Linked DNA regions of Oryzias latipes. The main gene of each other region encodes a partner of the protein of the gene in region 2 in a complex. Links are inferred from orthologs where the notes say so. Each region holds a gene or a part of one and is shown on either strand. Other genes may lie near its edges. The genes, in order: pes1 and bop1.

The links.
Region 1: bop1 (region 2) and pes1 share a complex: the UniProt entries of both Homo sapiens proteins name them as parts of the peBoW complex. The link is inferred for Oryzias latipes from reciprocal best matches to the Homo sapiens genes BOP1 and PES1.

What each region holds. Positions count from the first base shown.
Region 1 is NC_019867.2:13,296,969-13,313,488, reverse strand, and holds pes1 (pescadillo homolog), read right to left. Parts: upstream 9,308-16,520; 5' UTR 9,135-9,307; coding exon 9,111-9,134; intron 8,914-9,110; coding exon 8,834-8,913; intron 7,931-8,833; coding exon 7,777-7,930; intron 7,299-7,776; coding exon 7,189-7,298; intron 7,060-7,188; coding exon 6,888-7,059; intron 6,807-6,887; coding exon 6,717-6,806; intron 6,197-6,716; coding exon 6,080-6,196; intron 6,008-6,079; coding exon 5,930-6,007; intron 4,957-5,929; coding exon 4,867-4,956; intron 4,081-4,866; coding exon 3,950-4,080; intron 3,315-3,949; coding exon 3,189-3,314; intron 1,987-3,188; coding exon 1,802-1,986; intron 1,648-1,801; coding exon 1,490-1,647; intron 1,375-1,489; coding exon 1,207-1,374; intron 954-1,206; coding exon 879-953; 3' UTR 628-878; downstream 1-627. Other genes in the region: p2rx2 (P2X purinoceptor 2), read left to right, coding at 10,735-10,901, 11,234-11,369, 11,478-11,549, 11,637-11,712, 11,805-11,901, 13,269-13,349, 13,437-13,590, 13,927-14,057 and 4 more; pole (DNA polymerase epsilon catalytic subunit A), read right to left, coding at 16,164-16,286, 16,370-16,459. UniProt on the Homo sapiens protein: Component of the PeBoW complex, which is required for maturation of 28S and 5.8S ribosomal RNAs and formation of the 60S ribosome.
Region 2 is NC_019869.2:4,818,027-4,834,456, forward strand, and holds the start of bop1 (ribosome biogenesis protein BOP1), read right to left. Parts: upstream 7,949-16,430; 5' UTR 7,861-7,948; coding exon 7,777-7,860; intron 7,384-7,776; coding exon 7,183-7,383; intron 7,109-7,182; coding exon 7,013-7,108; intron 6,642-7,012; coding exon 6,487-6,641; intron 6,411-6,486; coding exon 6,293-6,410; intron 4,788-6,292; coding exon 4,686-4,787; intron 4,615-4,685; coding exon 4,402-4,614; intron 4,327-4,401; coding exon 4,165-4,326; intron 4,094-4,164; coding exon 4,013-4,093; intron 2,868-4,012; coding exon 2,798-2,867; intron 2,404-2,797; coding exon 2,271-2,403; intron 2,184-2,270; coding exon 2,000-2,183; intron 1,922-1,999; coding exon 1,630-1,921; intron 1,556-1,629; coding exon 1,471-1,555; intron 1,397-1,470; coding exon 1,289-1,396; intron 112-1,288; coding exon 1-111. Other genes in the region: hsf1 (heat shock factor protein 1), read left to right, coding at 11,990-12,115, 15,065-15,173, 15,273-15,409, 15,687-15,811, 16,221-16,296. UniProt on the Homo sapiens protein: Component of the PeBoW complex, which is required for maturation of 28S and 5.8S ribosomal RNAs and formation of the 60S ribosome.

The DNA.
Region 1 (16,520 bases), on a different chromosome or scaffold from region 2:
ATAAAATTTTAAAGAGAAGTTGATCTGATTGAGGAAAAGCTGTGTTGATAAGGAATTATTACACGAGACTGCAGATTTTTCACTACCAGTCTCTGCAAAACAGGATGTAACCATATGAAACCACCAATGCACCATGCAGTACAGGGCAGTTCATCTCCATTTATTCTGAAGCCCCGATTCACAGAAATAAATCACTCTGTTGCATTTTCCAAATGCTCAACTTGCTGAGGCACAACACTGCTCCCTTTGTTATGCCTCTGCCTACAAGCAACACGTGCCAGGCTGAGACCCAAAGGGGTGGGCACACAAGCAATGGAGGTCTGGGTGTTAAAAAAAAAAAAGTCAAAGAGAAGCCCCAAGTATCACACAGTGACCAAGGAGGGTGCAGGGCATGACCGTGGAACTAAACCGAGGGCAGAGGGAATATTTTCATTCGTCATCCATGCCCCCGCATAAACGCAAAACCAACCAGAGCATCCATGCCGGCGTCAGCAGCAGGAGAGTGACCTGAGCATCTGCCCACTGCAAAGACCCAGGCCAAAGCCTGGATTTAGATTTTCTGCACAGCTGCAGCAGTGAGGCCCTCCAAACACCACCGATGAAAAAAACATCCAACATTTGCTCAAATAAATGTACAACAGATTGTTTTACTTAAAGTACCAAATGATAGAGAACTTGAACTGAAAGGAGTCAAAACGTTTACAAAATATGAATGTTCATAAGAAATGAGGAAGTTTGTTTATTTACTTTAGAATCATGTGACTTTCTGCAGGTCAGTTAGTCCAAAATGTGTAGCTTTAAAAACAACAGCTTTCATCACATGCAGTTTTTATACACAAAATCTGGCTGATGGGGAAAAGAACAATGGACAGGATGAGTCAATTTTTGGTCTTTTTCTTCTTTGCTTTCTCGGTGTCGTCAAAGGCTTTTCTCTTCGCTGCGAGTTTGTTCGCCTGTTGGAAGAGATTAGATGTAAGTAATAAACAAAAATGTCAACCGTGCCCATTCTAGCTATGTAAACTCAGGGGGGGGGGGGGGGGGGCATCGCTGGGACTGTTTGCTCTTTACAGAGAAGCTGAACAATGCTGGTTATCTTTAGATAAAAAAAAAAAGAACTGATACCCGAGTAAACAGAGAGAAATATGTAGAAATGTTATCTTTTCTGAGAACTGGACACTTGTTTAAATAAAAAAAAATGAAATGCACCTCTCTTATTTTCCGCTTCTTTCCAAACATGATCTTGTCGTAAAGGTACTTTTCTTTTTTCTTCATCATCATGATGGCGAGACGCTTCTCCTCTGCCTTCTCCTCCTGCTCCAAGCGCACCGGATTTTCCATCTTCATTTTTCCAGGTGTCACTTTTACTTGCAGAGACTTAAACAAAAGCAACAAGGTATAGAGAGGTAAAAAAATAATAAATATAAAATATAAATATATTTTAAGAAAAAGAAAGCATGACAAATGCCACAAAAGAACAGAAATGACTCACCTTTCCCTGGGATTTTTGTTTTTCCATCTCCTTAAGATTTTTCTCCTCTGCTTCATCTTCGTCATCCTCATTTTGCTCCTCATCCTCTTCATCATCATCCTCATCATTCTCCTCTTCTTCATCATCATCATCATCATCATCATCATCCTGTTCTTGTGCTAGGACACCAAATGGTATTTAGAAAAAAAAGGTGAGAACAAGCGTTCTAAGACCACAAAAGTTCATCACTTTTCCATGACATTTGCGGTGACACTGATAACAGAAATGCTTTCAGAAAATAATCAAGTTGTCAGTTAACGGGTAGATCCGCACCAGGTTTCTCTCCTCGCTGTAAAGCCATTATCTTCAGTTTTTCTGGGGGCACATAATCCCCGTCTTTCTCCTCCACAAATGGAGACAGGTGAGGGGGCAGGGTCACCCCAAGAAAATAATCCTCCACGGGCAACAGCACCTTGGCGTTAACACAATCATACACCCACTGGGGCTGGATGTAGTACCTGAAACAAGGAAATCAAAGAAGACTTTTATGATGTTTGCAACACATGAAATGATTGATAAGGGCCTTTTAGTAAACATTTCTACCTGTTTAGTCATTACATATTTTAAGAATGGCATATTCTAAACATGAAGGTGTTAGTGAAGTTATGTAGGAAAAACACAACCAAGACAACCTGGATTCAACATTTTATTTCAAGTTTGGAACTCAGGGACTTTTTTTCTGTGACAATTTTGTATGTAAAAACCGCAACAGCTGTTCTTGCAGCGACATAGATCAAATACTTGGCTTTGAATTGGTCATTTGAATGATGCTGCAGGGGGTAAGTTTTAGCTACTTGAACATGCTGGATGGAGAACTTAAATTAATTTTTTTTTCTTTGTTGGTTAGTGCTGGAAGAATTGCTTTGGGTTTGGAAAATACATAAACCAAAAGCAGAAGTGGCTGGCCATCTTTTTTCATTTATGCATTTCAACGGTCAACCTGCTGTGAAGATATACAAATATTGCAGATACTAAAGTTCCTAATATGAAGACACTGCTCTGTTTTGGCTTCATGTGAAATCTTGGAACAACTGTCAATGAAAAATAATTATGTCAGATTAAAACCAAAGATGGGTGGACTCTCTGCCTTTCTTGAATGAGCTGCTTTAGTACTGTGACTCTGTTAGCTGCTGGTTTTGATTGCAGCCTGTGGGGCTTCTCCAGTCAGTTTTTACATGTATGTAAAGAACGTAACTTGGTTGAATGCTATAAAGCATTGTTTTCCTGTTTCTCTTTCTTTATTATAGTATTCTCCACCATTTTTTGGCGCTAAACTCCCACAATTTTTCAGCTATTTTAACCATTCAACTATTAAAATGTTCAGCTTTTTCCAGCTTTGACTATTGGTCCTTCAAATCCTTGAAAATTTCAAGATATTCCTGGATTTTTGCCTCCATTGAAATACACGGGGAATCCTTGGTGCAGGGGCTTGCTGGTTCGATACCCAGCGCTAGCATTTTTCACAAAAATATACTCTGTTATTGTGCTGTTTTCCCTTTATGGTCCACTTCAATTTTTATTTATTTTTGCCAATTATGACCCTTTAAGTTTTCATTCAGAAATATAGCATTCAACCCTGCATTTTCTTCTGGAAATGCAGCTCCTTCTAGTTTTTAAACTGCATCTGATCAGAAATGTCATCAAAAATCGTTTTCTTCACCTGTTGATGTAGCTTTTGTCCACATTAGGTCTGTCCACAATTTGATGTGTGATCGTCTCGTCTGTGGCATCATACGTGCTCCCAATGCAGACAGACCTGTCCCAGGACACCTCTCCACCAAAACACCTGAAAGGCAGAAGCAAAGCTATTGGATTTATTGTGACCATTACTTTATGATTAAGGTCACACTCCGATCATCTTTGGATTTATTATTAAGCGTTCCTTCCCACTGGTCTTGTAATTATGATTATGCCATTTTTAGCTAAAATCAGTAAAACCTGCTCCGTTTTCTGGGTCATATTTCCTGCGGAGCGGCAGGAGTTCATTAGAAATTCACCTCTTGACTGTTTTCCGAGAGCAACCTTCCCCCATTTCCCGTCACCCATAACTGAGCTCTCTGCTTATGTGTTCTCCTGCTAGCTAACAGCCCCCCCCCCCCCCCCCACCTAATATTACCGGTGCAACAAAAACGGCGAGCAATATCGGAGATATCCAGACGTACAGTTTTGAGCCAGATATCAGCTCAGTTGAGGTGCATCAGAATGGAGCGGAACAGGAAGCTTGTGAGCCGCTGATTGTAACACCTACAAGGTTTATCAAATGGCATTTTTTTGTCTGCTCCTGTTTCACAGCAATTTGAATAAAGAAATACTCAGAAATGCAATTCCGGGCATAATTTTCCTCTATACATGTACTCCATAAAAACACCAAAACACAATTTTCATCAGAATGGAGCTTTAATTTCCCAAAAGTGTGTTTACCTGATGACAAAAGCCAGTGACTCTCTGGGAACTTCCCTGTTCAGGAAAAACTTGAGTCCCTCAAAAATCTTTTTTTGGGTTTCCAGCTGCATTTGCTCCTTTTCTCGAGCTTCGACTTTCTCCAAATCCTCCTGGAGAAGAAAAATAACAATAAAAAAAAGTTTCAAATACTGATGAGTTTTAATTTTGCCTTTATAAATGGAGCGATAAAGATTAATTGCATGTATCCTAATTCACTTCTTGATGATGCAGGCTAAACTTAAGGCTTTCCATTATGCACCGAAAATGCTGACCCTTAACCCTAAAATAAGTCATTTTTCTATATTAATTATAAATGACAATTCTTTATTTTATTTTAAGAAATAAACATTGCTTTAAAAGAGTGAAATTCATAAATATTCATTATGCATGTTCATGACACAAACTAGTATTAAAAAAAAAAATTCAAAAGTAAAATGTTTAGGTAATTAATCCTCTTTTTGTCACATTTGACAGAACTTTGCATTGTACCATCATCAGTGTGGTGTTCAGAGGCAGATGAGTGTCTTTGAAAAGACCAAACGTTAGTTTAGACTTGGCTCTTTAAACTGCACTAATGACTTTTATGGCTCTCAAAAAATGTTTGTTTGTTTTTTTAAAGAGCCATATGAAGTCCCTATGGTGTTACGCGATTCCTAGATGACCATTTTAAACTGGCAAAGCAAAACAAGCTTCTCAGGTGAGAACCAAAGCACCAATGGCAAACAAACATAAAGCTGTAAATCCCTGGTTACATTCTAATTTTTTAGCCCAATTGTCCTGAGAGAGTAATGAATGTCCTATGAATTTATTTGGTGTTGTTTTGGAGTTTTTCCACAAAATAAACATTTGTATCAAGTATAATAAAAACAAATGTAAAAATTCCAAACATGTCTTGCCTCCTCCGTAGGAAACGCATCGAGCTGAGCATCTTCTTCCTCTGCTGTAGAAACAACCCGGGCCAGGCTGGCACTGAGAGCTGCAAGTTTCTGCACAGATAAAACATCACGTTTTCCCCCTGTCATCTACTTCATTTTTATTTATGTTTATACAGTATTAGAAAAAGAGGGAAAAAAACTCAGACTAAAGTTTTAGTTTAATAAAATACCATCCATTTTAGCACCATGATGCCTAAATCCTGTTTGATCCTGCTTTTATGTAAATAAAGGAAAAGTCTATGGTGGACCTGAAGTAAAAATCATTCAATGCAAAAACATATTTAAGATCAAAACAACAACAAAAAGATGATAATGATAAAAAAATATCTATATATCTATATATATATATATTTTACATTTTAGAAACCAAACCATAAAAAAAAAACATTTTTGGAAAACAAAAGGAATTGCCAGAATTAAAATGAAATGTTTAAACATTAAATAATAAGAGACCAAGAAAGGTGGGTATCACTGACTGGATGAAGATGTTTGAGTTTTGAAGAAGAGGGAAAGCAGAAGAATGTGTTGCCCAAACTGTGGTTGAGAGTAGAATGAGCAGTCAACCCTTTGCAGTAACTGAGGCCAGAAGTTTAATCAAATATCTTCTGTCTACAATGCCAAATAACTTTTCGTTGAAAAGGTGATCAAACGTCATCATTCAATCAGTTAGGACCCACAATACCGACCTTTCCTGGTTTCTCCTTTTGTTTCTGGACATTAATTTTAATTTCTGAAACGTTTCATTTTTATTTTGTTTCCTTTTTCTGGTATTGTGTTTTGGTTTTGGCTTCTGGAATATTGCTTCAATTACTAAAATGTAATCTTATTCATTTATGTTTTTTAATAGTTTTGTCTTTTTTAATTGTCATTGTGATCTTTCACAAGTTTTTTTGCTAAATGTGTTAATGTGATTTTAGGGCCACAATAAAAGTCAAAGAGAAAATAAATACTAAAACAAAAGGCCGTAAATAAAAACAGGCATTTTAGGCTGTTCACTGTGGGAAACAAATAAATAAAAACTAACCTCGGGGTAGCTCTCTGAGTCCATAGCATATTCATCTTCATTCTCTCCCTTGAGCTCCGACTCTGCTTTAATGTCCAGCTGTGTGAAAACAGAGTAGGTTCAAAGTGGAGCTCATACGTATGTCTTAAAATCGTCTCCAGTTCAAAATACCTTTGGAGGGTAGACCAGGTTGAGGGAATGGTAGAGCCTGAAGTTCACAAACCCCAGCAGGGTTGTGTACAACTCTGTGAAAGTTGCCATGACTCTGTAGTCAACATCTGTTGGGTGCTAAAACAGCAAAAATATTATTTTAGAAAAATAAAAGGTCTACTCACCAAATAACTGTGTCAAAGTGAAACATTTCAACATATAATTTGAGTAATAATTCAAAAAAATAGTTTAAAATTACACTTTATAAAAATGATCAAAAATCACATGAACGTTTATGTAGCTTTCCTCCCTCTTTTAGCTGTTAAATTGTCTATTTGTAAAGAAGAATTATTTCTTCTGAGGACATCAGTATTTGGAAAACAATGAAAAGGCACTGAAGCAAGTCAACATAAAGGAGTCTCGGCGTCTGCACCTCAACTGGAAATTAATCACCTTTAATTAAAATGTTTTGGTTCCTAAATGACTTAGATGGTATTTAAAAGTAAATATAAAAAGATGATGTCAGACTTTGGAAACTATGTAAACAGCTTTACTAATTAACTGGGGACTTTCTGTGTTTAGTTAGAACATTGTTGATTTTGCTGTCACTGCTTATTGGTATATTCCTTATGAACCTCATTTCATCAATTTGACTTACATCATGGGAGAACTGATAGGGCACCAGCCATGTGATGAGCTGTCCCATCACCTCAGCCTGATAGTACATTCCCTTGATGGAGACGAAAACCTAACGGGAACAGAGTGGGTTGTATGTCAGAAAACACAGAACTGTAATTTTTTTCTGTGAAAGAGTTCAGTAAAGCTGCACCTTTCTGAGAGAGCGTGATGCAATCACATAGTTCATCCACTCCACAGTGAGGCGTCTGCAGAGCTGGATTGTTTGGACGTGACATTTTCCCGTTCTGGCAAATGTGGAGAAGAGGAAGCACATGCAAAGGGCGTCGTCGATATCACGGAGGGCATCGATGAAGGAGGGGTATCTACAACAGAAAGCAATTGACTTAGAGGTAGGTTTATCTGTCTTACATTTAAAAACTAGAAAAACACAGAACAATGGGTTCATTTAACAGAAAAATCTACTTATGCCCCACTTTTTAAGTCAGTCTCACCTCTCTTTAATGATGTGGTCCAATTTATAGGTTGGCTTGTTTTCTTTCAGTCTTTCAACTGCAGACCACTCCGTTTTTCCATAAGCCTTTCTCAGTTTCCGTACAAATATCTATTAAAACAAAGAACAAATTTTTAGGCTAACTTACACTTCGACTGTATAGTATCCAAAAAGATTATTACCAAAATAAATAAAGTTGTTTGATAATATATTAAAACCTTATATTGTTTACATTTTCCAGTCCTTAAATCCAAATCCATGTGTGAGCATGCACATTAAGTATGCACACTTAAGTCTATACTGCAGAGAAGGAATGGATCTCTTAAATCCTCACTTTTCATTGCAGGTAATGCAAAAAATGCAAAAACAAAAAGTTTTTTACATATTAAAGATCAACTACAAGTTATGCATTTCAAACTTAGTCACTTTTTGGTGATCATTTCTATTTTAACAAATTTTCTGCAATGTATTTTTGTATCAACAAGCTCTTTAATTCACACTTTGAAGAGAAAGGGAATCGACACTGTGCTCTCTCTATGCATGTAAGTAATAAAAAAATAATAAAAAACATTTACACATTTTGAAATACCTTGTATTCTCTGAACTTGGCAACTATGGGCTCATGCAGCAGAAAACGAATATCTTTAAGCAGATAAAAGGTCCTGGGGGCAGTGGAGCCCTTGTTGACCTTCTTCTTGTGCTTCGGCTCATGAGGATAGATGCCTTTAAGAATGCAGAGTCGTCTAAAACAAAAAGTAAAGCAAGTCATCAGAGATACAAAAAAATGACATGAGTGTGTATCGCAGTCTGACTAAATCTGATGGAAAATCATGTTGGCCACACACAATACGAGACGCACATTGCTGCACTGCCCGCACATATTTTAATTGCATTAAAGGCTAAAGGTTGTTGTTGGTCGCATGTTTTTTGTATAGCCCAATAATACAATAATAGTTGTCTTATTGGGCTAACATTAAATCAGTCATTAAATACAGTAGGTCATTGCTAAACTTAACTAAACAGACTAAGCTAAACTGGGCACCCCTGCCCTTAGACCCTACTTCTCGGTAAGCAAAACGTTATTAAAAATAGATAAATAAATAACAGATTCCGGGGGAAACAGTCTCCGCTGTGTCCACATGATGAAGAAGGGATCCTCTCCCAGGACAGACAGGTGATGTACCAGGACTGTTAAGGTAGAATTAACTTATCCAACTCTACAACTACATGTTTGAATAATGTAGCAAGTAATGTCAAGTATTTATATTTACTGAATGTCAAACTGTTAAATGTTTAAGGACAGTAAATAAATGTTTGCCAACATTTATGATTTGCAACGTTTTCATGTTCTTTTTTTTTTACACTGTAGTGTATACTTTAAGAAACTGCTCCAAATAGGTTAACCTTTATTATAACTATGCTTAACCACAAAGTTATGTGCAGACACAAAGGGGCTGGTACATTAATAACAATCTCTGAAAATTAAACCATAAAATCACACACTCCAGTTCAGTTGCAGTTCAAAAATAATTTAACAAATACCTCGTGTTAAAAAAAACATCCAAATCAGTGGTAAAAAAAAAAAAAAAAAAAAAGGTATTATTTACAAAAAAAAGAAAAAGAAAAAAACTTGAGCTGTGTGGTACCTGAAGTCTGGTAGGCTCAACTGTAGCTTCTTCCGAGCTCTATTTCGTGTAATGTAGTTGGTGGCAGAGCCCCTCTCAAACTGCAAAGAAAACGGTTTTAAAAATTTCCAGTAACAATTTCCGTAAACTGCATTAAATGTAATTTTGACTGTTCACATTCACGTGTAAACGTTTGCCCAACATAATGAACCACTTAGAACAAACTTAAGCTAGTTTAGCTAGCTACGTACGTAGCATGGAAACTGTTACTGAGTTCAAACAAAACGCCAGCATTTACCTTTTTCTTTTGAGTGCCGCCCATACTTAAGAAATTAGTTTATCTGAAATAAAGCCAAACAAACCGTTTTTAACTAAATATGTTGTCAGGTAGTTAAAATCTGAACACGACCACCATGTTTTGCTGTAAATGCACGTGTTGTTTGACATGCGCAAGAGAATCAGATTGGGTTTAGCGGACACGAGGACCCACAGTCGACCGCTCATCTGCCTGCTCGCAATAGTCTTATTAAGCTGCGGTAGATGAGCGAGCTACTAAAAAAAGCAATAACAAAAAAATAACATTAATAACAATGTTTGAATGCACTGTTTAGTTAAATGGTGGACTGCTGCATAAAACAATATTATCCTACAGGTTGTTATATATATCTATATCTATATATATATATAGATATAGATATAGATACAGACAGACAGACAGACAGACAGACAGACAGACAGACAGACAGACAGACATGTTGGCCCTTTTTCTTTCTTGATCCCCAACATTGTCACAAGCAAAGCATCCCACACCATCACACCTCCTCCTCCATGCTTTACAGTGGGAGCAGGCATGTAGAACCAAAAATCTCAAATTTGGACTCATCAGACCAAAGCACACATTTCCACTGGTCTAATGTCCGTTCCTTGTGTTCTTAAGCCTAAACAAGTTTCTTCTGCTTGTTGCCTTTCTTTAGCAGTGGTTTCCTAGCAGATATTCTACCATGAAGACCTGATTCACAAAGTCTCCTCTTAACAGTTGTTGTAGAGATGTGTCTGCTGCTAGAACTCTGTGTGCCATTGACCTGCTCTCTAATCTGAGCTGCTGTTAACCTGCCATTTCTGAGGCTGGTGACTCGGATGAACTCATCCTCTACAGCAGAGGTGACTCATGGTCTTCCTTTCCTGGGGCGCTCCACATGTAAGCCAGTTTCTTTGTAGCACTTGATGGTTTTTCTGACTGCACTTGGGGACACTTTCAAAGTTTTCCCAATTTTTCGGACTGACTGACCTTCATTTCTTAAAGTAATGATGGCCACTCATTTTTCTGTACTTAGCTGCTTTTTTCTAGCACTAAAACAAATTCAGTCTATTCAGTGGGACGAACAGCTGTGTATCCACCTGACTTCTGCACAACACAACTGATGGTCCCAACCCCATTTATAAGGCAAGAAATCACACTTTTTAAACCTGACAGGGCACACCTGTGAAGTGAAAAACATTTCAGGTAAACTACCTTTTGACGCTCATCAAGAGAATACCAAGAGTGTGCAAAGTAGTTATCAAATCAAAAGGTGGCTACTATGAAGAACCTAGAATATGACATATTTTCAGTTGTTTTACACTTTCTTGTTATGTATATAATTCCACATATGTTAATTCACAGTTTTGATGCCTTCAGTGTGAATCTACAATTTTCATAGTCATGAAAATAAAGAAAACTCTTTGAATGAGAAAGTGTGTCCAAACATTTGGTCTGTACTGTAAATCTAAGCCCCACCCCTTGTCTATTGGACCCCTCACATATGTCAGGGATGCTTCAGCAAAATGCAGACAAGAGCAGAGCAGCCTCAGACAGGGAGAAGAAGAAATGTTGTAACAAGATAAAGTTCTGTTGATAAAAAGACTCAAGCACTGATTTGGATATGAGTACAGCATTTCATAAAGTCATCATGGGGCTATATGACTTTTTAAAGGAGTGCTTCAGTGGTTTTTGGGACTACGAAACCCCCAAAGTGATGGTCGTGAAAAACAGAACTCTTGGAGTCATTTACAGGGCGGTCCAGTTTCTTGTGATTACCTATTTTATCTGGTAAGTGAGCAGCATGTTTGTATATTTGCTTAAAAAAAAAGAAATTTGTACACAATGCTGTTTTTTTTATATATGTAAACTGACTGTTGTGATTTGTGTTGGATTAAACTAGAAAAATTAATCTTTTATGTATAAGTCATCAAGTGCAAAATAGCTTTTTATTTCAACAAAATAGGAAGATAACTAGAGCGGAGTCTGAGTGCGTCATTTTCTTTTCTTGGCTACTGCATGTGGGCTGAGTAGATCAAATGTAACATGATGCCTCCAATTACATTTTCCCATCAGTGGAGAAGATGTGACTTTTGTGTTTGTTTGTCCGATCATCCACAAAGGTATGTTTTTATAAGTCAGAAGGCATACCAAGACAGCGAAACCCATCCAGATAGCTCTATTTATACACTCATGAAAGGCACAGCAGTTCATGGAGATGACATCCTGGACAGTGTGGAGTACGCCAGTCCATCAGAAGTAAGCTGGGAAAACGTCTTCCCCCATATCACTTACACTCTATCAAAATCACAACTACTTAGTGATGGAGGATTCTGCTCTGGGTATTCATTTCACTTTTTTTCATAGGGAGGTGATGTGATTAGTACATTACTCAGAAGAGATATCACATATGACCAGAAGCAAGGCACCTGTGCGGAGGTGAGTAAGCTGAGGTTTCATAAACAATAACAATAGAAGTGCTGACAAAGATGATCCTAAAATCCAGATGCATTTTTTTCTGCACAGTATTACAAAGTTGAAAATGCCAACTGTTCAAAGGACGCAGATTGCGTCCCTGGGGAGGTTGACTTTAATGGCCATGGTATCGTCATGAATTTCTTTACACGTGTTTTGTTTTAAGTGCACCACAGCCTCCGCTCTTAATTTAAGTTGAACGTTTTATTCTTTTTGCAGGCAGAAGAACCGGGAAATGTATTCAGTATTACAACCACACCTTTAAAACCTGTGAGATCCAAAGCTGGTGTCCCATTGAAGAGTACGCTGTTGTACGGTAAGACATGTCATTCACAATCTGAAACCAATACCTTAAACACACTAAGATCAGGTTCATTTTTTGGAATCGTAAGGACACGAAAAAGTTGAACAAAAACAAAATAAATAAATAAATAAATTAGGGGAAAAAATGCACTGGCTTCAAAGTAAATCTGTAAATCTGTTTTACTTATTTAATCCTGATTTAGCGCCGTTTTAGTTTTCTCACTTACACAGCTTGGAACTAAAACAATCAGGAGGTTTGACATCCGAACAGTTTCTTCTGTCAGTCTACACAAGCATTTCCGTCGAATGCACTGGGGCTACGGGGTGTTGAAAAAGGCCAAAAGCCTTCAGGGGTGTAACGATTACTTGATTCATCTGTTAATCGATGAATCAGTTTTTATTCCTGCGATCCAGTTGTAAATCAAATCGAATAGACCTGCATCATTGTAAAATCCTTTCAAAATGTAATGATTGGTTTGTTTTACTTTACTTTACTCTTATAACTTAAAAACGACCAAGTGCTGGTCCTGGCCCGGGTGGCGGATTTGATCGCCCGGGGGGCGGTTGTCCCCTGCCTGCTGCCGTGTGGCGTTGGGGGGTTCCGGCTGCCGCTGCTGCTGCGGCGGGGGTCATGCTGTCATTCCAGTCCAATGTGTGGAAACACTTTGAATTGTGTGACCATACAGTGTGGTGGAATGTTCTAATAATGTTCCCTTTGGATTGTTGAAATGGAAAAAAACAACATGAAACTAAAAGTTGAATGGATTTGTCATTACTTCTTGTTTACTTATTTGTACACATATTTAATTTACACTTGATTATCTTGCAAGAAATAAATGGAATCTGGAAAACTTCACTTGCACTTTTCAGTACTCAGGTATTTATCTCTGAGTCACACTGGTTGAATTTTTGGATAAAGATGTCCTGGATCCATTTTCAGTCAGTGAATCAGATCGTTCAAAATGAACCAAAATCGACTATGAATCGTATCAGCAACCAAAAATTTTGATATGAATCAAATTATTGTTCAAATGAATTGTTACACTTCTACTTCAAAGTCCAACAGGTACAGAGCAATAAGAGTGATAAGTCACATTTACACTTATAGAATAATTTAATGCATATAATTGTCGAATGTATAAAAAGAATTGATTTAAAGATGCCAGAAAATGTGGTTCTAGATGTGAGCCCCTGATTTATCTAGTAAACATGCATAAGAAAAGAGTCAAATGTCTGAGATTTCGACTGTGAGAGGAAACTGGAGAAGAAAGGGGAAGCATGTACACACAGACGGAGCGGGCATAGCTGCCTTCCACTCTGTGTTTGAAATAGTGCAGGTTTCCGTCCTCTGAATAAAGCATAATTTATTCCCTTCAACAGAGAACCAGCATTAGTGGAAGCCATTAATTTTACGGTGTTCATCAGGAACTACATCCACTTCCCCAAATTTAAAGTGTTGAGGTGGGTCCCTCTCAAAACTGTACACACATCACACCAGTTTCTTCCATTAAGCTTCATGAAGAATAACTGAGGTCATCTCATTTGTAGGGGAAATATAGAGGATTCTTTAGGCAAGCGCCGCAAAAGGAAATACCTAAATAAGTGCCAATATAATGAGGAGACAGATCCCTACTGTCCAAACTTCCGCCTGGGATACATTGCAAGTCAAGCAAGGGAGAGTTTCAGTGAGCTCTGCAGGACTGTGAGTATGAAGCAGCACAGCAACCATGTCAGATGTTGGACCCAAACTGGTTTTGCAACAAAAAAAGTTTCAAGTATCATATCAACCTGTGCTTGCAACAGCTTTTGTTAAATATACTTGACTTCATAAGGTGTTATCTTTTACCTCAATAAGACCCCTCTATTATTATTTTTACTGTCATAAAATGCATTTCTATATGTGAATTTGGTTTTGCACCTAAATGAATTATTTTAAGCGTAAAACAGAAAGACATTTAATTGTTGATTATCATTATTTATTGTTTTTATATTATTATTTCTTATGAAAAAAATGTATTTACATAATCTTTTTTCTCAGGGAGGAGTAATTGGAGTTTTCATCAACTGGGACTGTAACTTAGATCTGAATCCTTCATATTGTAAACCCACATATTCATTCCGCCGTCTCGATGTTAGAAAAGACGAGGACAATTCAGGGTACTACTACAGGTTGGTATCAACACCCATCACTGACATCTGTGTTTACGTATAAAAATCGGCTATATATATATATATATATATATATATATATATATATATATATATATATATATATATATATATATATATATATATATATATATATATATATATATAACAACAATATATATAATTTTTTTTCCATGTGATTTCCCAGGTTTGCCAAATATTACAGCAAAAATGGAGTGGAGTCTCGGACACTCATCAAGGCTTATGGCATCCGTCTTGATATAATAGTTCATGGACAAGTAAGAGGACTCCTATTTCTCAGCTTAATTCATTTCCAGCGTGATGAGATGATTAATTATTGCATCCATGCAGGCTGGAAAGTTTAGTCCCATTCCGACCATCATCAGTTCAGTTACGGCCATGACCTCAGTTGGGATTGTGAGTCTGACTAAAAAGATTTACTGAAATATTGAAATGGTTTGCATTTGTTCCTAATTTCTTCCTGTTTCTCACTTGCAGTGTACAATCATCTGTGACTGGATCATGTTGACATTTATCGACAAGAATGAAGTGTACAGCGATAGAAAATTTGATGAAGTAAGAGAAATAGCTTCTGCCTTTGGTTGGAGATTCCAAGCAATATATGTATATTAATCTTAATTCTTCATTCCTCCACATTTTCATGTATAATCTGCCTTCAACTGAATCTTAACCATCTTCTGCAGGTGATCCAGGAGCCTGCAGATCTCATCCCCACAGATCTTGTCCACACAGAGCTCAGCTACATCGGCAGCTTTGGCTCCAACCACTCTGATCTGTCAGACGGCGTACCACTTTGATGCATCTTAGGTTGCCTCTATCCTCAGTGGAAGACTGACCATAGCAGCTCAAAGAGGTTCCTGAAGGGTCTGCAGGGTCACAGAACTGTGTCGTGTTTGGGGGGGAAAACGAGTTGTTAAACGTGTCCTTTTCTCTATGTGCTGCCTACAAATAAGAATACTTACACTGCACAGATTATGTGTTAATTTTCACTGGATTTAAATATATATTCTTGGCTTCATGACAGAGAAGCTAAAATTGGTTGTTAAATCTAACAAACCAAGAGCATGTGTCCCAAATGTTCAGTCCAATAATAAATCACTTAATTGTTGATGTTTGGGTTGTAATTTTGCATTCAACATCAGTCAGACGCGTTATTTTCTTCTGAGTTTCATTCTAAAGGACAAAAAAGACTTAACACAAGTGCGTGTTGCAAAACGAGAGGATGCAAGGGATTGTGAGGAGAGTGATGAAAAATAATCAAATAAGGCAGACACTTCCCATAAAAAATGCTTCTCTAACAAGGTTGTGGAGTGAGAGTGTGATTCCATCTGTGTCTGAGAGCTTTGCAAGTGTCCATCCTAAAACTCGAGACTCAAGGCTTGTGAATCAATATCTTCCATGATGCACAGAGGATTGTAAATGACGCATGAAGAAACTTAAAACAGAAAAAAAAAGAGAAAAAGGTACACCAAGGTCACCTAAAGTGACTTGTAGAGTTTAAATTAAGCAGAGGCTGAGCTCAACAGTAAATTTAAAATATTACTCCTAAGCCATGAACTGCTTGTATTCCCTCATGCGTCATCCTGCAAGAGCAGCAGGTGTCAGTGAGATTCTCTGAGGATGCATAATTGTGCCTGAGCTCACTAATGACATGCAATTAAAGGTACTTGAAAGCAGGCAAAAAAAAATCTGAACGAAGTTGACAATTTTGTTCATTAGAAACCCATGAAACATAAAGACGTTTATTAAATATTCAACGAGGCAACCAAGGTTGTGAGAAGAGGCTCGTATTTGTTCTCTCGGCAGAATAAACAAAAGCTGCAGCTCTCCTCTCTGAGGTCACGCACGGATAAAAGACATATGAGCTCCTGGCTGAAAGGGAAAGTAAGATAATGCGCTTACAGATGGAGAAAGCTTCCGGAGTACCGATAGATACAATCAACTCATAAAAAACACACCAACTGAGTTTCAACAGATGTATTTATTATTCATTAACATGATAAAATTGCAAATAGAAAAGATAAAACTTTAAACACATGTCCTCCAGCTTGTCGCATGACAACATCTCAGCTCCTGAAGTGCGTTTTAGTTGCATCTCTGTTCAATCTGAGGGCTCATCGCAAGCAGCCAGTCAATGGTCTCCTCCAGGAACCTCATGTTATAGTGGGATGCGATGTTCCGAAACACCATGATCTGCTCAGAGAAGCTCTTTAAAAGGAAAGAAGAAATGTTCAATGTTTGATGCTTTAAACAGTAAAATAGAAGGATGGAAAAAATCTGAGAGCAGAAACCTTAGCTGAGAATGTGAGGCTGAAGTCTCCAGCACATCTGCAGTAGAGCGGCATGTTGGCCTCCTTCACCCCTTTGCATTTGTTGCACACCTTAAAACAGAATTTTTTTTATTTTTTATTCAGAGGACAATGCTTTAAAGCAAAAGGGACC
Region 2 (16,430 bases):
ATCCAGGGTTGTGTGGGATGAAACGTTACATCCAGAACCCCAAGGTCATGCGTGATCACATGACCTCTTAGGACTTTCACAGGAACGATGAGCGGGTTCTGAAGCAAATCGCTGAAAGAGGAAAGAAGAGTTCTATTAAACCTGCATGCATCAGAACGTCATTGAAAAGCATTATGTACACTGTATTAGTAAAAGTAAACGCTCATCTCTATTTACACTTTAATGACAATACATTAGCAACCAATAGAAAGATGTTGGTCCTGCTGCCATAAAACCTTTAACGGCCTTTTGTGTCATAAATGCAGCTGTACGGCCTAAAAAAACCCATATCTATGGAAGCATTTGTGTAGCATAGTTAAAAAGAAAAGTCAAAACCAGAAATGCTTTTTCATTTTCAAAATGAAGCTGCATTTTTTGACTCAAGATTAAAATGAAAAGGCAATCTGCCAAAATGCTTTTTCATTTTCTTCTTCAACACTGCTTATTCTGTCTAAGGCAGAAATGCTGCTACGTAGTCCTGAGAAGCTGTGTACAATCACCAGGAGAGCACAACCATCACAAAGCCCTCTCCTCTGCCGCTAACACAAAGCTCCACTGCTCCTAGCATGTGTCTCTTAGCAACCGGACACACGGAGAAAGCACTGACGTCATCGCCCCGCCTCCCCTCTGGAAATGCTTAGTCTAAGTTAATTCTGTGACGCTATTCGCAGGGGTTAAAATGAAAATGCAATCCCCTCTTTGCATTTTCATTTTAATTATGACACAGAATAAGCGGTTTTTAAGTAGAAATGAAAAAGCATTTTGAAATATTGCTTTTTCATTTTAATTTTGGGTCAATTGATGCAGTTACATTTTGAAAATGAAAAAGCATTTCTGTTAATCCATTTTAATTGTCAAATTAGACATTTCTAAAGGAATTTTGCTACACATTTACCAGAAAACTTATTCAGAATGAAATGTTAAATACCATTTTCTTCATCATTTTAATTAAGTGACAGAATACGCGATGTTGATGTAGAAAATGAAAAAGCATTTCTGGATTTGACGTTTCTTTTTAATTATGCTACATGACTGCTTCCATACATATCACGACGCTTTCTTTGCACTGATCTTAAGCTAACGTGAAGTTTGTGGGGCTTTAGATTGATAATTCTTCCACAAAGGTGTGGAGACAGTTTCCGACATGCTGCGATTTTATAAATTCCTGACCATTTAACATATAGGAATACCTGCATTTAAGTATTGACACTCCTGTCAATCATTTCACAGGCTTGTATTAAAGACTTACTTGTAAACGGTCCCGTGACAGACGATCACCGTCCCATCGTCAGAGGCTGAGGCGAACAACGGGTAACCTTTGTGAAAGGCCACGCTCCTCACTGCCTTCTTATGGTGTCTGCAGACAGGAAGTGATTATTGCATCTTTGTCATCAGTCTTGAATGGGACGAAATCCCCAAATGTGGACGTACCGTAGAACCTTGTATGGTTTTGTTGAGAGGTCTAGGTCAAACCAGCTCAGCTTACAGTCGTAACTCCCACAGATCACATGATCACCTGTGCAAAGACAGACAGGTGACATAAAGGCTCCATTCTGCTGTTTTTATGGGAGGATTTTAGACTCTACCTACCTCCAGGGTGGACTGCGATGTTAGAGATCCACTTGGAGTTGGCCTGAAGTTTTTTGGCCATTTCCTGTTTGACTAAGTTGTAGATCCTGACGTAGCGTTGCGTTGCCACGAAGAAGAAGGGCCTAATCGGGTGGAAGGCGACGCACTGAACAAGACCTTTGTTTTTCCTGAAAGGGTTCTGGCTCCGCCTCCGGCTCAGCTGGTGAATAAACACCTGCAGGTGACTGGAATGGTCTGGCATCACAGAGGCCAGGTAGTCTCCTTTAGCGTGCCACGTCACCTGATGGACGGCCTGGGAAACGAAAACCAACCAGTCAGTTCACCGGTTTGATCACGCGATAATTCCCGTCACTAATGTGGAATTTCTCACTTTGGGATGCTGGATTTTAAGATGGATCCCTTCCTTTAGCTCCTCCCCCTCTGTCTCAGACCAGACCACAGGTTGGGGACCTTCTGACGGGTTCTCCTCCTGGGAACCAGCAAGCAGCCGCTCCGATGAAGAGATGACCAGTTTGTCCCCCAGAGACGGAGACAAGATCAGGACCGTCGAGTCCCTGGAAGCAAAACACAAACAAACAAAAAATGTTGAGAAGAGAACATAAAACAAAAAAAATCAAAGGAAGAAACATGAAGATCCTTACACAGCAACAGCCAGCAGACACAAGGCCGGGTTTGGATTCCATGCCACGCTCTTTACGGCTCCGCCCACTTGGACAATCTTCATGCAGCGAGAGGAACAGACCTCCCAGAATCTGACAGAACCGTCATCACTACCTGTGCACACATTAAATAAACACTTTAATAACAGCTTTCAGTAAAAAATTTTAGACCAGAATCCTGCAAAATTCTATCAAGCCTGCGACTAAAACAAGTACTTATCCCTTGTTCAGAAGTTTGGTCCCTTTTGAAAAGTGTTGCATTTAGATCTTTCTTTTTGGCTTATAAGCACCATTTTCTGAGTTTTATTATATCCAGAAGACCTTATGTGATAAATATACCATGAAGAAAATGATCTTTTTAAATATGTTTAGAGTTCTCAAACCCATCTGTGATTGGGTAAAAAGTTTAGAATCCTGAAAGGAGCAATTTTAGAGATGTTGCTGTTATTATCATGACTAGAATAAAGATAAAAGTAAAAAAAAAAAAAAAAAATGCTGGCAGACATCACCTGATGCAAGCCACTGTCCGGATGGAGACACGCTGACGGAGCGAACCAGACTGCTGTGACCTCGATACACCTGAACACGGGTAAAAGCAGTAGGTCATGTAGCTCACATCGTGTCACGGATAAATTCAGCCAAGAATCAGAACTACGGAAGTGCAAAACACATCAACAAATTACTCCATCAAAAAGACATATTAAAGAGCATCACCCCCTCCTAAACCATGAAAACGAGTTGGTCCTCACATTGTGACATCACAAAGTGAGGAACAGCCCCTTCCAGGAAGAGTCTGAGCTGCCAGCCCCGCCCCAGGCTAACACCCACTTTCTCTGTGTCGGGTAAACACTTTCCTTTTATATTCACATCCATCTTTGCAAAATTTTAAATGTTTGTTTTCGTGGGCGAGACGCAGACACGCTGCCGAGGCCGAATCTAGGTTGACGTCATGAAATGGGCGGCGCCCACAAGGAGCGAAAGGGGGAGCCTCAGAGATCAAGTCGTCTTACTTCCAGGTAGGAAAATGAAAATGCCAAAATGACTCCTACGTCATTGAAAAAAACCTTCTTTAGTTTGCCAAAGGTAAAATATTATCATTTACTTTCCCCAAAAGTGATTTTTGGGAAACCACATTTGGGAAAACAAAAGTAATTTCCAGAAATCAATTTGAAATGTTTAAAAAAAAAATGAAACAAAATAAGAAACCAGAAAAGCTAGGTATTATGGGATTTGGCTGATTGGATGATGAGGTTTGAGTTTTGAAGAAGGAGGAAAGCAGAGGGATGTTTTTGCCTGAACTGTGGAGAGCGACACGGCAGGCTGCCAGGTACCTCGGCTCCATGGTAGCCTATTTGTTTTTGTGTTTTGTTGTTCTCTGGTTGATTTTTATGGAATTTTAGTGCTCTATATTATCACTTGTTTCTCCATCATGGGATCAATTTTTCTAACTTCCAGTTTAAGCGGTGTACAAACGTCATCATCCAATCAGTGACATCCCATAATACCTTTCCCAGCTTCTTATTTTCTTTCATTTTGATTACTGGGAATTACTTCTGTTTTCTGAGACGTTTCATTTTTTGGGCGAATTTTGTTCATCTTTTTAAAGCTTTTTATTATTCTTTTTAATCTTGAATGTGTCTTGGCACTGAGGGATTTGTTGATGTGATTTGTCCTTCAGGGCCACCGTACAGAACAGATCAGAGTGTTAGCGGTGCGTGACTCACCAGAGACTGTGTTGTTGGAAAAGGCTGCAAGTCCTTGGGTTTAGGGAGTTTGGGAATCAGATCTTCTGGATTCACGTTGACCTGCAGACAGTTTCGTATGAGAGAAGAGCTTCCATCTGTTAAGCAGGCGGGTTAGTTAATTAGTTAGTTACCCTCATCTTCCTCTGTCGGGGACACAGATAAAGATCCAGGCAGCGCTCAAACTTCTCATGGATGAACCGGGAATATGCTGGAACCTGACGGAGGCTGGAGAACTTCTTGGGAATAAATGGCAGCTTTCTGTCTTCGGGATCTTGTTGCTCCCACAGCGCTTTCTGTGGAACGGAGGCTCAAAGACTCATTTACTGAGAAACAATATGCCTTAAGTGGGACTTTGATTTGGCCCTCACCTCTTCTTCAGTGAACAGGTACTCGGGTGGGGGGTTGTAAGACTCCTCGTGACCAGGGAGGCGCAATTTGGGGGCCGGCAGGTGCATCCTGTGCTTCGCCAGAATGGACGAATCCTCATTGGCCCACAGGTCATAGTAGCGCTCTTTGCTGTCGTCCTGCACTCGTCTTGGTTTGATCCAGCCCATTTTTATGGCATGAACCAGTTTAGAAACCTTTAGACGGCAAAATAGATCAATGGTTAGGCGATAAAAGCAAATCTGCAGCATTCTTCTCACTTTGTTACCTTCTCCTTTTCAATCAGGGATGGTATGAAGCTCCGTTTGTCTGCAGGTCTGTTGGTGACTGGATGAATCATGACGTCGCTACTGAAGAACTCCACTGTTGGCTGAAGAAGACAAGGAGTCAAACTCAACAGCTGCTACTTCAAAGCTCATATATGTGGTTTCCACTCGGGATCAGCTTAAACTGAATGGAAAAAGGAGGGATGAGGAAGCACCAACAACAGACTGTCCTGGAGCAGATATGACATCACCATAACCTCTGTCTCTCAATGTCAATCATTTCCTGGTACCCAATGGGCTCAGAACTCCACCCCCACGTAAAATTGGGATAACTCAGAAAATTCTAAGTTGAAACTATAAATTGAGAACCGGAAAAAACCCACAAAAAAAAACCAGCAAGTGTGTCATTACTTTTCATTTGATAACAGTTTCAGGTTAAGTTTTTCTTAAAGTTAAGTTTAGAGTATTTCTTTAAATATAAACTATATATTTTTCAAGCTCACCGTTTTTCAAATGTTCAATATTTATTTCACGTTTACAGCATACGTTGAGGAGTTTAAAACTATTTCCGAATTTATAATTTGGATTTTTCGTTCACTTTAAGCTGCTCTTGATTTGACATTTGGAAGAAAAAAAACATTTTTTTCTTTTAGTAAAGACTAAATGTTGCCTCTATGATAATGATTACTGTTTATATATGCATACAGAGGTATGAATATATATAATAGTATATACATATATATTTTCACGTACATAAATATATAAACGGTTAAAATAGATGATGTCAATCTTGTCTGAACAGAAGACAAAACGTATTTCTCCGTCAGTACATATGGAACAGGTACAATGGTTAACCAGCTTTATGTCACAATAACCTAAAACTTCAGCTGATAGGTCATTTTAGACACTATCTTCCCTCTGGTTCTTCAAAGGCTGTGGGACATGTGGTCAAATTTGAGTTATTGCTTGTTTACTTTGTAGTTTTTTGCATATTTTTTGTCTTTTTAATTTGTTATGTTGTGACATATCTTAGATAGTTTCGTTTTTTTCGTTCACTCTTTTGACGCCACTTTGTCGCTACCGTGTTCCCTGCAGTCACTTTTTCCACCCCAATATAGTATTTTCTCCCACTGTTTTTAATCAGAGGCACTCTGGAATTTCGTTTAATTTCAAAATGTGTGCAGCTTGCGACTAAAAACAGACGTTTGTCAAAAAGATGTCAGAAATTTCATATGAATCTCTGGAAACTAAGCTTAACTGTTAGTCTGTCTGCTTTGTAAATTTTTCCAGATTGCACATCGATGACCAAAATACAATATCTCCTATCTGCAAATTGTTAGATTTTGAGTTTTTAGCATTAAATGCTGAGAACAAGGACAAATTCACATTTTAAGTGAATCTGCAAAAAAGTCTTATGACCCGAAAGTCACAAGACAAAAACCTCACATCACCATCGGCTGGAATATTTGAAACACATTTTTCTTGTTTCCTGAAAAAAAAAGATAGGTTTCAGGTAGGAGCATTTGTACTTAGGCTCATAAATACAGATTCCTCTGAAAATACCACAAAAAAAGCCAAAAATAAGGATGCAAAGCCTCCCTGAGCATACCTGGTACTCATTGAAGTTGATGTCTCCAAACTGCCCTCTCTGCAGTCGGTTGACCAGATCCACCTGCTCGTCTGACAGCACAATGTCTCTTCCCGTCTGCTTGTCGTGAACTGTCCTCCTGCACGCACAACCAAAACCGTTAGCGTTTCCTGTTTGAAACTGTAGAGGACGCGGAAATGCGCTGGCTAGCTGACCAGTAGTCAGGATTTTCCATTTTATCCAAGAATTCGTCCAGCTCATCCTTGTTCCTGATTGGCTTGAAAATCTTCTTTCCATCTAGATCGTAGCCAATGTGAGGGAAGTCTTTGTACCATTCCATGGGAATGTTGCCCACTGTGTTCCTGATGTCCTGCAGAAGAATCAGAACCAGCACATGAGAACCTTTTAGAATCCAACAGAAGAGTTCAAGCAAGGAAACAGGACAGAGGTATTTAAAGAAAAAAGGTGGTTTGCAAAACAAATAAGGTAAAACACAAACATGCATATAGAATTATACAATAATAGACTGTGTAAAGTAAGGTAGGTCCAGATCAGAGGGCAAGTGACAAGAAAAAAACAGACAAACTTTGTTCTAAAATAACCAATAAAATAAAAAAGGGTGATCAAACATCTACATGCAAGAAGCTGAGGACGTACAGGAAATTACTAGAAAAATAAAAAGCGAATAAAAGTGACAATCCGAGGAGATCACTAAAGAATCCCAGATGCCGCTACTCCTACCTCCTCATCCGAGGTGTCATGCTCATACTCATCTCCTTTCTTCTCTTGTTTTCCTTCAGTTGCTCCTTTCTTGTTTTTGTTGTTCTTCACTTTTGTCTGCAAATGCGACAGATTTTCAGAAGAACCATAATAATATCCGGTCGCAGTAAGTCCACAGCAGCAAACCTCACCTGCTGCCTCTGTTTATCCGGATCATCATTTGATCCATCAGCTTCCTCCACATCATCGGAACTTTTCTCTTCAACGTCTGACTCTTCATCCTCAGAGTCGCTCCCGGAATCCTCCAGTCCAGAAAATTGACTGTCCTCACTGTCTGACAGGTCATCGTCGTCTTCATCTTTCTCAGTAGCTTTGTTGTTGATATCAAAAAGCTGAAGACAAACACACACAATCACTGTTTATGGTTCAATTCCCCATAGATGTTTGGCTAATATTAGCATCCTGATTCATTGTATGTAAAGAAATTCCAAATTCTATGATGCTCTCACTGAACTCTATTCAGAAAACATACATTTAAAAATAAATCATGCGGTTTTTATATTGTATTCCTATAAGTCTGTTTATAAACAAACTATATGATATTTTCACCGCTTAACAGTTCGGTTGGGAAAATTTGTTATCAGCAATGTCAACGTTTTTAAAAGCTCCAGCCTGTTTTGATTTTGCTTATTTATTAGCATGCTAGCCGCTAACAAGCAAGTCCTAGCTAATTCACAGAGTAATTTCCCGCTTTTTCCCTCTAACAGTTAGATTGCGTTTCTCACTTCATCTTGCTCTTCTTCCTCCACTTCCTTCGTCTTCCTCTTCGTTTTCTCCCTGACTTTCTTCATTTCTGATCTCTGTTCCATGCTCTGCACGTTTTCCAGCTCCTGCTTCGCGGACCCACGTGGAAAACCCGCGGGGTCAGAGGTTATGCTGGCCGAGAAAAACGAGAAGACACGAAGGCAGCCTCCGCCCCCTATCGGTCAGATGTCTTCACTGCACGTCCGGCTGAACAATAATATTGTTCGTTGCAACCAATGAGTTATATCACTAGAGGAGACACGCCCGCTTTAGAAGCCTGGCCGTCGGTGGCGGAGCGCGACGCCATCTTGGTGAGGTCGACGACGCCCACATGACATTGATTTCTATTGATTTTAGTGGTGTCTAAGTAGCTTTTATAAACTGTATATATTTTTAGATTTAAATATATTTATACATATATATATAAATATATTATATTTTATGTATATAATATATATATATATATATATATATATATATATATATATATATATATATATATATATATATATAGATACATCATTTGTTGATGTTAAAGAAGAGAAACAGTCAGCCTTAAAAGCTCAAACTTGAATGAAAATGCATTGTTGCAGGACTTCTTACAAATAAAAAAATCAATAGTAAGTCAATACAAACAATAAATAACAATAAATAAATAACAAGTCAATAAAGAATAATAAAAATAATTATATTATTATTATTATTACTATTATTATTATTATTAATAATAATAATAATAATAATAATAATAATAATAATAATAATAATAATAATAATAATAATAATAATAATAATAATATTCAAAATAATATAGACAATAGGACAATAGATTTACCCTAAAAAAACAGTCTGGCCTCTTATCAAAATCTGTTTCCACAAATGTTTTGAACAGTCAGACTGTATTACTAGTTGGTACCACAGTGATCCATCTGGGTTAACTCTTTTTATAGCTAAGTCCCACTTTTTCCTTCAGTCTGAATCCATTGGAATCCTGCAAGAAAAGTTCAGTCACTGAGTCAGAAATGTTTAAATCTATATTACTATAATAGCCTAGTATGCTGTATACAGGTTTAGCAAAATAAAATCTACATTTATATTGACAGCAAAATAAATGTACATCATGCAGCATGTTGATAACAGCCCTGCAGCATCATGCATGTCAACATACGTTCTATTAATGAAGCCCCTGCAGCCTTAAAATAAAAAAAAATAAAATACTTACCTGTGAAATGATACACCTACCTCCTTCATGGACTCATTTATCTGATTTTGGCAGTTGAAATCCGCACAATGAACTGGCATTATGCAAAAAATGTGTTCACATGCATGCACTGCAGCAGTGACTTGACCTCACCAAGATGGCGGTGCTCTCCTCCCATGAGGAACCACGTGATGTCTCCTCTAGTGATATAACTCAATGGTTGCAACTGCCTAGGAGTGAGAAAACACAGTTTCCATCCATCCATCCATCCATCCATCCATCCATCCATCCATCCATCCATCCATCCATCCATCCATCCATCCATCCATCCATCCATCCATCCATAGTATGGCAGCAATTAAATTTAGCCTCAGTAATTATTTATTAACTTTTTTTGTTTATACTTTAAAAAACTCAAAGTTTTAAATCATAACCACCAAATAAATTGTTTGATTAGGAAAAACAAACTTTATTGTTTAGGTTAGATATTCCAACACAATGAATTTATATAAAATAGCACGCTGATCTGTATTACTGGCCTTTGCATCACTTGTTTTGCGAAATATATTTTTTCCCCTCAAAAATCGTTATTGAAGATATACAGGATCACAAAATCGAGTCAGCTTTAAAGTACACTGATAGAAAAATGAGTAACAAAATGTGCCAAGGGAACATAAAGAACAAAGGAAAAAAGAAAAGAAAAATGATTATAAAGAAGAGAATTGAAAGCAGTAAGTTGCTATTCTGTACATTTAAAAAATTCCAGGGTGTCAAAGGTTCTTATAGCTTTGGGGTTAGAATAAGATTTTGTTGTTCTGGTTTATTTGTTTAATTCAATAATAAAAAGTTTGAATAAGGCCTTTTTTTCCCAGAAAATTTGCATTTAAGAATATGAAATTTGGCTAGTATTATTAAAAGGTTAATTGAGTAGTATTCCTTTAATAATAAATTTTTAACATTTTAAAAACCAAATAATATATCTTTGTATATCAGATCAAATTATTTTTTAGAAATTTTACACTGAACAAAGAGGAAAAGTCTTTCCAGAAAGTTTCTCTTTGGGGGCATTTCCAGAATAGATGCGTGATTGTTTCAGTGTCTAATTTACAAAAGGAGCAGTTTCTATCAATGTCTATGTGTAGTGAGGATTTGGCTGTGTAGCATCTGCGAAGACGTTTGAAGCAAACATCTCAGGGTTTATTTGAAATAAAATATTTGGAGGACAAAGTCCAAACTTTCTTCCATTCATCTGGGGCAAATTTTCTCCAATAGTGGGTCACGTAGGGTACGACTGTAGGGATCTTATTTGTTTATTTCTTGTTGAATTTCTCATAGTAAAGCAGATCTTGCAAATATTGGTTTCAAATAAAGAGACTGAACGTGAGGGTAATGGGTGCACAAGACCTTTAAATAACATTATAATTCCTTCAGGAATAGCATCCATGACTATTGCAAATTCTTTTGGGGGTAACTGGAATATTATAAGTGATTCATTAGTGTTGTTTTTTTGCGAAGTATTTTTTCCCCAGCTTTATTGAACATAGCATTAACATACAAAATCCAACATCAAGGAATCAGACAGATCATCAGCAGTGGTAATCAATGCCATCATTCGAAGCTCATTAAATCACCTCAAGTAAAAATCTTATCAGAAATGTATCAAAAATAGAAATTGCTGATAGGAAAATAAAGTATCTTAAAATATATAAAAGGGGATTACAAAATAATAATAATATTGTTTACAATACAAAGTTTTCTTAGAGGAGGGGATTACCTATCAAACAAAAAAGCACAAATTGTTCCAGTGTTACTTACTTTGGGTGTGTTATCTTTTTTAATACATTCATAAAACTGAAATATCTCGATCTTAAATATAGTAAAATCGGGAGTTTTTTTTATTTATTTCTGCACTTATGCATGTAAAATTTGGATTGGAGAAGTAAAAAATTGATACTTTTTTCAACCTTTTTATCATCCGAATTAAAATATGTGAAGATTTGTTTCAAATTTAAAATAATGTTACAGTTAAATTTGATGTTTACAAAGCATTCTAATTGGTTCCAAAATTAACGGGAAAATTTACAAAAGTAGAAAAGGTGAAGAACTGATTCAGGGAAATAAATACAAAAACCACCATTATTTTCTATATTTGAGAATTTGGACATAACCATATTTGTGGGGTAAATGTTATGTAGATTTTTTTTTGGTGTATTTCTTTAACTTTGTTATTTATACAAAAATGTTTTGCGAAGTATTTTTTTTAACAATAATAATACTGTAGTGACGGCAAGGAAGCTCCTTAGGCGGCCGGTTGTTCAACAGCTCTTTATTGAGATTTCTGTATCTGATAACGGTCACAGCGTGACTAAACAGGCACAGCCAGCTACTACTAACTTCTGCGATGACGCGCACACACACTCTTCCACAGGTAGACCCCGCCCCCTCTCTCCATCAGTCACCCGCCCACCACTGATTGACACACACACAGTGGTCTAGCAACTGACAGAAAGAGGGGGGCGCCAGCCACCTGCAGCTCTGTCTAAACCCTGGGTCGTTACAATACATTTTATTTAAACTAAGAAGGAACATGCAAAACAATTATCTTAAAGGAATCCACATGGATGGACAAAACTTCAAATGTTTTGCGAAGTATTGCATTATGTATTGCGCTGTCGTGACGCAATCATCCTGCGACAACTAGAAAGCTGCGCAGTTGTTTGCTTTATCGGATTTGTCGGAATTTTCCACTACGGAGTTTGTTTAGAGGACTTTAAGAAGATATTATTGAAAAAACTGGAACTTGCTGGGTTCTGATTCAGAACAAGGGGTTTAGACGATCTAATTACACCACAGTGGGAGCTATTTTGGCAGTTTATTTGTTGTGTGTGTGGTCCTTGAAAATGGGATCTACGGTAGGCTAGCTGTTGTTAGCATCGTTAGCTCAGGTTAGCTAAAGAAAAAGTCCAATTGGGGTTTTTACTACCGTCGTTAGCATGGAATATACTGGAGGAGTTGGAGGAGGGGTGGTGGTGAGTGGAGGAAACGTCCCGGCGTTCTTAACAAAACTCTGGACTCTGGTGGAGGACCCCGAGACCGACCATCTCATCTGCTGGAGCCTGGTAATCACCTTAGCTTAGCCTTAGCCTAGCATATCCGAGGGAGCGCACGTAGTCGTCCACAGTTGATTCAAAGAACGCAGCCATAACCTGGAACTCAACTTAAAGTCTCGTTTTGTGTGTATTAAGATAAAGAATTACAGCTAATATACACAAACATACATCCTCATACTTTGTAATGTGTTGTATAAGTGTAATAAAAAATGTTATTAACCACACACGATTTAGACAATTACAACTACAACATTAAACATTAAAAGCAAAACCGTTCCAAGTGACATACAACTTCAAATAACAGTGGACTTTTATAAAGGCACAAATTTTAGGACAAAATGGTTAAAACTCACACATCGGTATACCCATAAACAGTGTCATGGAATTTCTCGTAGTTTAAAAAACCCAGTAACTTCAAAAGATAATCCTGCCGTGTACTGAATAAAACTACTACATATAAAATACCAATATATGTGAGATGTTCTAGGCAGCATAAGGTCTGTTTAAGCTTTCACTCCCAACTCGTTTCCCACAAGCTTGAAGTGTATGTTGGGATAAATATGGAAATATTAAAAAGAACATCTTTAAGCTAGCAAAACATTGAATATTCTTATGCGTTCGACTAACTATCTTATTTGTTCTTATTTTTGTTTCAGAACCATAGGTGTGAGAATGAATACCACTAAAATGTAATAAGAATGGACAGTTTGAACATTAGTTTCACTACGAAAGGTTTCTGTGTTTACATCTTTCACATACTTTCAGTTCAAACTTAGCTTTTTAAAAGTTATACATATTTCAAAAGTTATACATATGATCTCATATTGTGTGCTTATTAGGGCGACTATTTTAGCGGTAACCTATAACGTGACCAAGAAGAGCGCCTTGGCCGGCGTCAAGAGTGACATTGACGGATGGAACAGAGAATCGGGCAATTTTTCAAAGTAAAACATCTTTCAGATTCCGAAATAAATAAAACGGAAGTGATGTAAGTTATTTATTCTTTCTGTGCGGCCCGGTACCAAAGGACCCACGGACCGGTAGCGGACCGCTGCTCTAAACCACAAAAATTGTAGCCTCCTTGAAAACAAAATAGTGCAATTTTTTTCCAGTTGTAGCCACAAATTGAAAAAAGAATCATAGACCCACTCTGATAATATTTTGAGCTACTTGTTGAGCTTTTGTTTTATTTTTAGTGTTCCCAGTGCTCTTTTAATTAAGAGCTTGTCGTTATTTTATTTTGTTTTTTTGCCAAAATCTCAAAACCTGTGTTGATTTTGTTGGACATAGTTTCTGCCGAGCGGCAGGAATTCATTAAAAATTCGCCTCCGGGTTGGGTGGACGAGATGGGGGGCTTGTTGGCGTGAAGCGACCCCCCCCCCCCCCCCCCATTGCTAAGGCTACGTTCACACTGCAGGCTGAAACGACCCAATTCTGATTTTTTTGCCCCTATGCGAGCCAATTCCGATCTTTTCATGAGAGTCTGAACGACACAGATCCGATCTTTTCAAATGCGAACCCAGGCCACATGGGTATGCCGTCCTGATTCCGATCTTTTCAATTGCGACCGCCAGGCCACCTGAATCCGAATCGTACGTCATCGACACGCTACAAACGTCATCATTCTGCGTTGAAGTAGGCGGGAACGAGAATGTAAACATCAACCATGGTGGACGATGCGGCTGAGACCAGTCAGTGGAAGAGAAGCAGGTCACCGATTGATTATTATTTGGGGTGTTCGCTCTATTCAGGTCAAACTCCAGGGCTCTTATCGCAACTGGCCGGTTTTTGAAAAGATTTCCAGCGAAATGGCCGAGCGTTGTGTTGAACCTTCCCCGTGATGACTTTGTTCCTCTTTCCGACCGTGGTCAGAAGCGCGGCAGAGACCGGCTTCTCCAGGGCCGAAGGCGGATCCTCCTCCGGGGTTCACTTCCCCGTTCAGACACCCATATTCTCCAAAGAAGGCTAATAAAGAGTTAAAAGCATTTATTCATGGGGAAACCATCTTTTATTACCGTTCTCCTTCCTCCATAACACACAACATGAATGCGCCCCCACTGCCCCCCTCATTCCCACCTTTCTGCACGTGCTCTTCTTCTCTTCTCTCTTTACAAATACACAGACACACGCACGGCCATAGCACATACACATCCCCATTCCACAACAGTGGGTATGGACGATCCTGGCTCCAATGCCTTCTTAAAATGAGAAGATTGTAATTGTGCTGCTCCTTTGGGAAAATAAATGTAATAATACAAAAGAGCTCCGCTGTTGACAACACTGCTGTTGACATCCATTGTTAATGTTAGCTACTTCCGCAAACAACGAGTGTCGTCGTTCGCCGTTGAGTACTCTTCTGCGCATGCAGGTCTCGTTTGGGTTGTGTCACGGTCACACTGGAGATCACAAAAGTTCGGATTTACTAGGAAATGTGAACGGTCTTGCAAAAAAATCTGATTTTTTCCAAAAAATCCGATTGAGCATTAAGCCCTGCAGTGTGAACGTAGAGCTTTAATAAGTTTTTCTGTTTTACAAGCAGCATTTTGTTGTCTGATCCTGCTTCACAGCGAAAAAATGCACAGAAATCGCAATTTTAAGCTTCTTTTCCGAAAAAAAATATCCTCCATCATCAGAACCATGCCACGAAAACATGTTAAAAAACACCAAAGACACCATTTATATCAGAGTGGGTTTTTAAATCTACTGGGGATTTTTCCGTGCCGAGCTGCGCTTCCTGGAAACCTGACTCAGAGTGGTCAGTTTGATTTCAGGTGAGTTTGGTGAGTGGATCTCAACTCGCTGACTCTCTGACTGTAGACACCACATGGCAAGAACTATTTTAACAATCTGCCTATTTGGAGTAGAAATAATATCTGTCTGTTCGTGGCATTTGAATATTTAAACCACTAGTTTATGATTTAAATCATTTTAATAACTCGTGGTCTTGTTCTGTGTCAGAATGGAACCAGCTTCCATGTGTTCGATCAGTGCCGGTTCTCTAAAGAAGTCTTGCCGAAGTTCTTCAAGCACAACAACATGGCCAGCTTCATCCGACAGCTCAACATGTGTGAGTACCAGCGGGCGACTCTGCTCACCTCAACCGAGGATACAGATAAACGCTGGAATTACAGAAGCTGTTTGATGTTCTGTGTCTGTCTGTGGCCAGATGGTTTCCGTAAGGTTGTGCACATTGAGCAGGGCGGTTTGGTGAAACCAGAAAAAGACGACACAGAGTTCCAGCATCCGTTCTTCATCAGAGGACAAGAACACCTTCTGGAAAACATCAAACGCAAAGTCACTAATGTATGTGCCTGCAAAAGCACCCCAACAAGGCCAGATTTTAGGCTTTTGGGATCCAATAAAAGAAGTTTTTTTTAGCCTATTCTCATCTTAAATGCACACATTTATTATTCTCATAATCTTCATTGTAGGTTAACATCAAAAACATTCTGGATAGAAATCTAAAAATGAATAGAATGATTTAAAAAAAAAGTTGAACTTTGTGAAAATGGGAATTCTGGAGTTTTTCTTGGCCCCCTGGTCCACAGTGACAGTCCCCCTTTTTACCTGACCCTTGCAGGTCTCGTCGGTCCGTCATGATGATGTGAAACTCTGTGCTGATGACGTGAGCAAAATCCTGAACGATGTCCAGACAATGAAGGGAAAACAAGAAACCATCGACTCCAGGATTATCGCAATGAAACAGTAAGAACCAAAAAAAAAGCTCCCAGCTCTGCTCCATTCTGATGCACCCCCCTGCAGGTGGACGTCTTTGTTTTCTGGCAACTCGCTCCAAACTGTACAGCCGGATAGCTCCAATATTGCTCGTCATTCTGACTGCACCAGTAATGTTAGGCTGGATGTGTCAGGGGCTGTAAGCTAGCAGGAAAGAGTGTAAACTTTGATTTTATCTTTAAAACAGTGTAACTAAAATAATAAAAAAATAAACACTGGGAACGTGTTTAAAATTGATCAAAAGATGATGGGAGCAGGTCTTAAACTGTGAGTTGTGGTGGTCTTTTCCTGAAACTGCGTTGCTCCCCACATTCTCCCATTGTTTGGTCTCACTTTGTTGTCAGTCTCCTGACCTGTAAACTATGTTCCTGTGTTTCAGTGAGAACGAGGCTCTGTGGAGGGAAGTGGCCAGTCTGAGGCAGAAACATGCTCAGCAGCAGAAAGTTGTCAACAAGGTACAAACATGTAATCAAGGAGCACAGAGTAGAGGTGGCGTGTACGTGAAGTGTGGAGGAGCAGCCGTGTTTAGAGCTACATGCATTTGTCGTTGAATAGAAAATGTGGTTGTTGTTGTGCGTTTTGTGTTAAA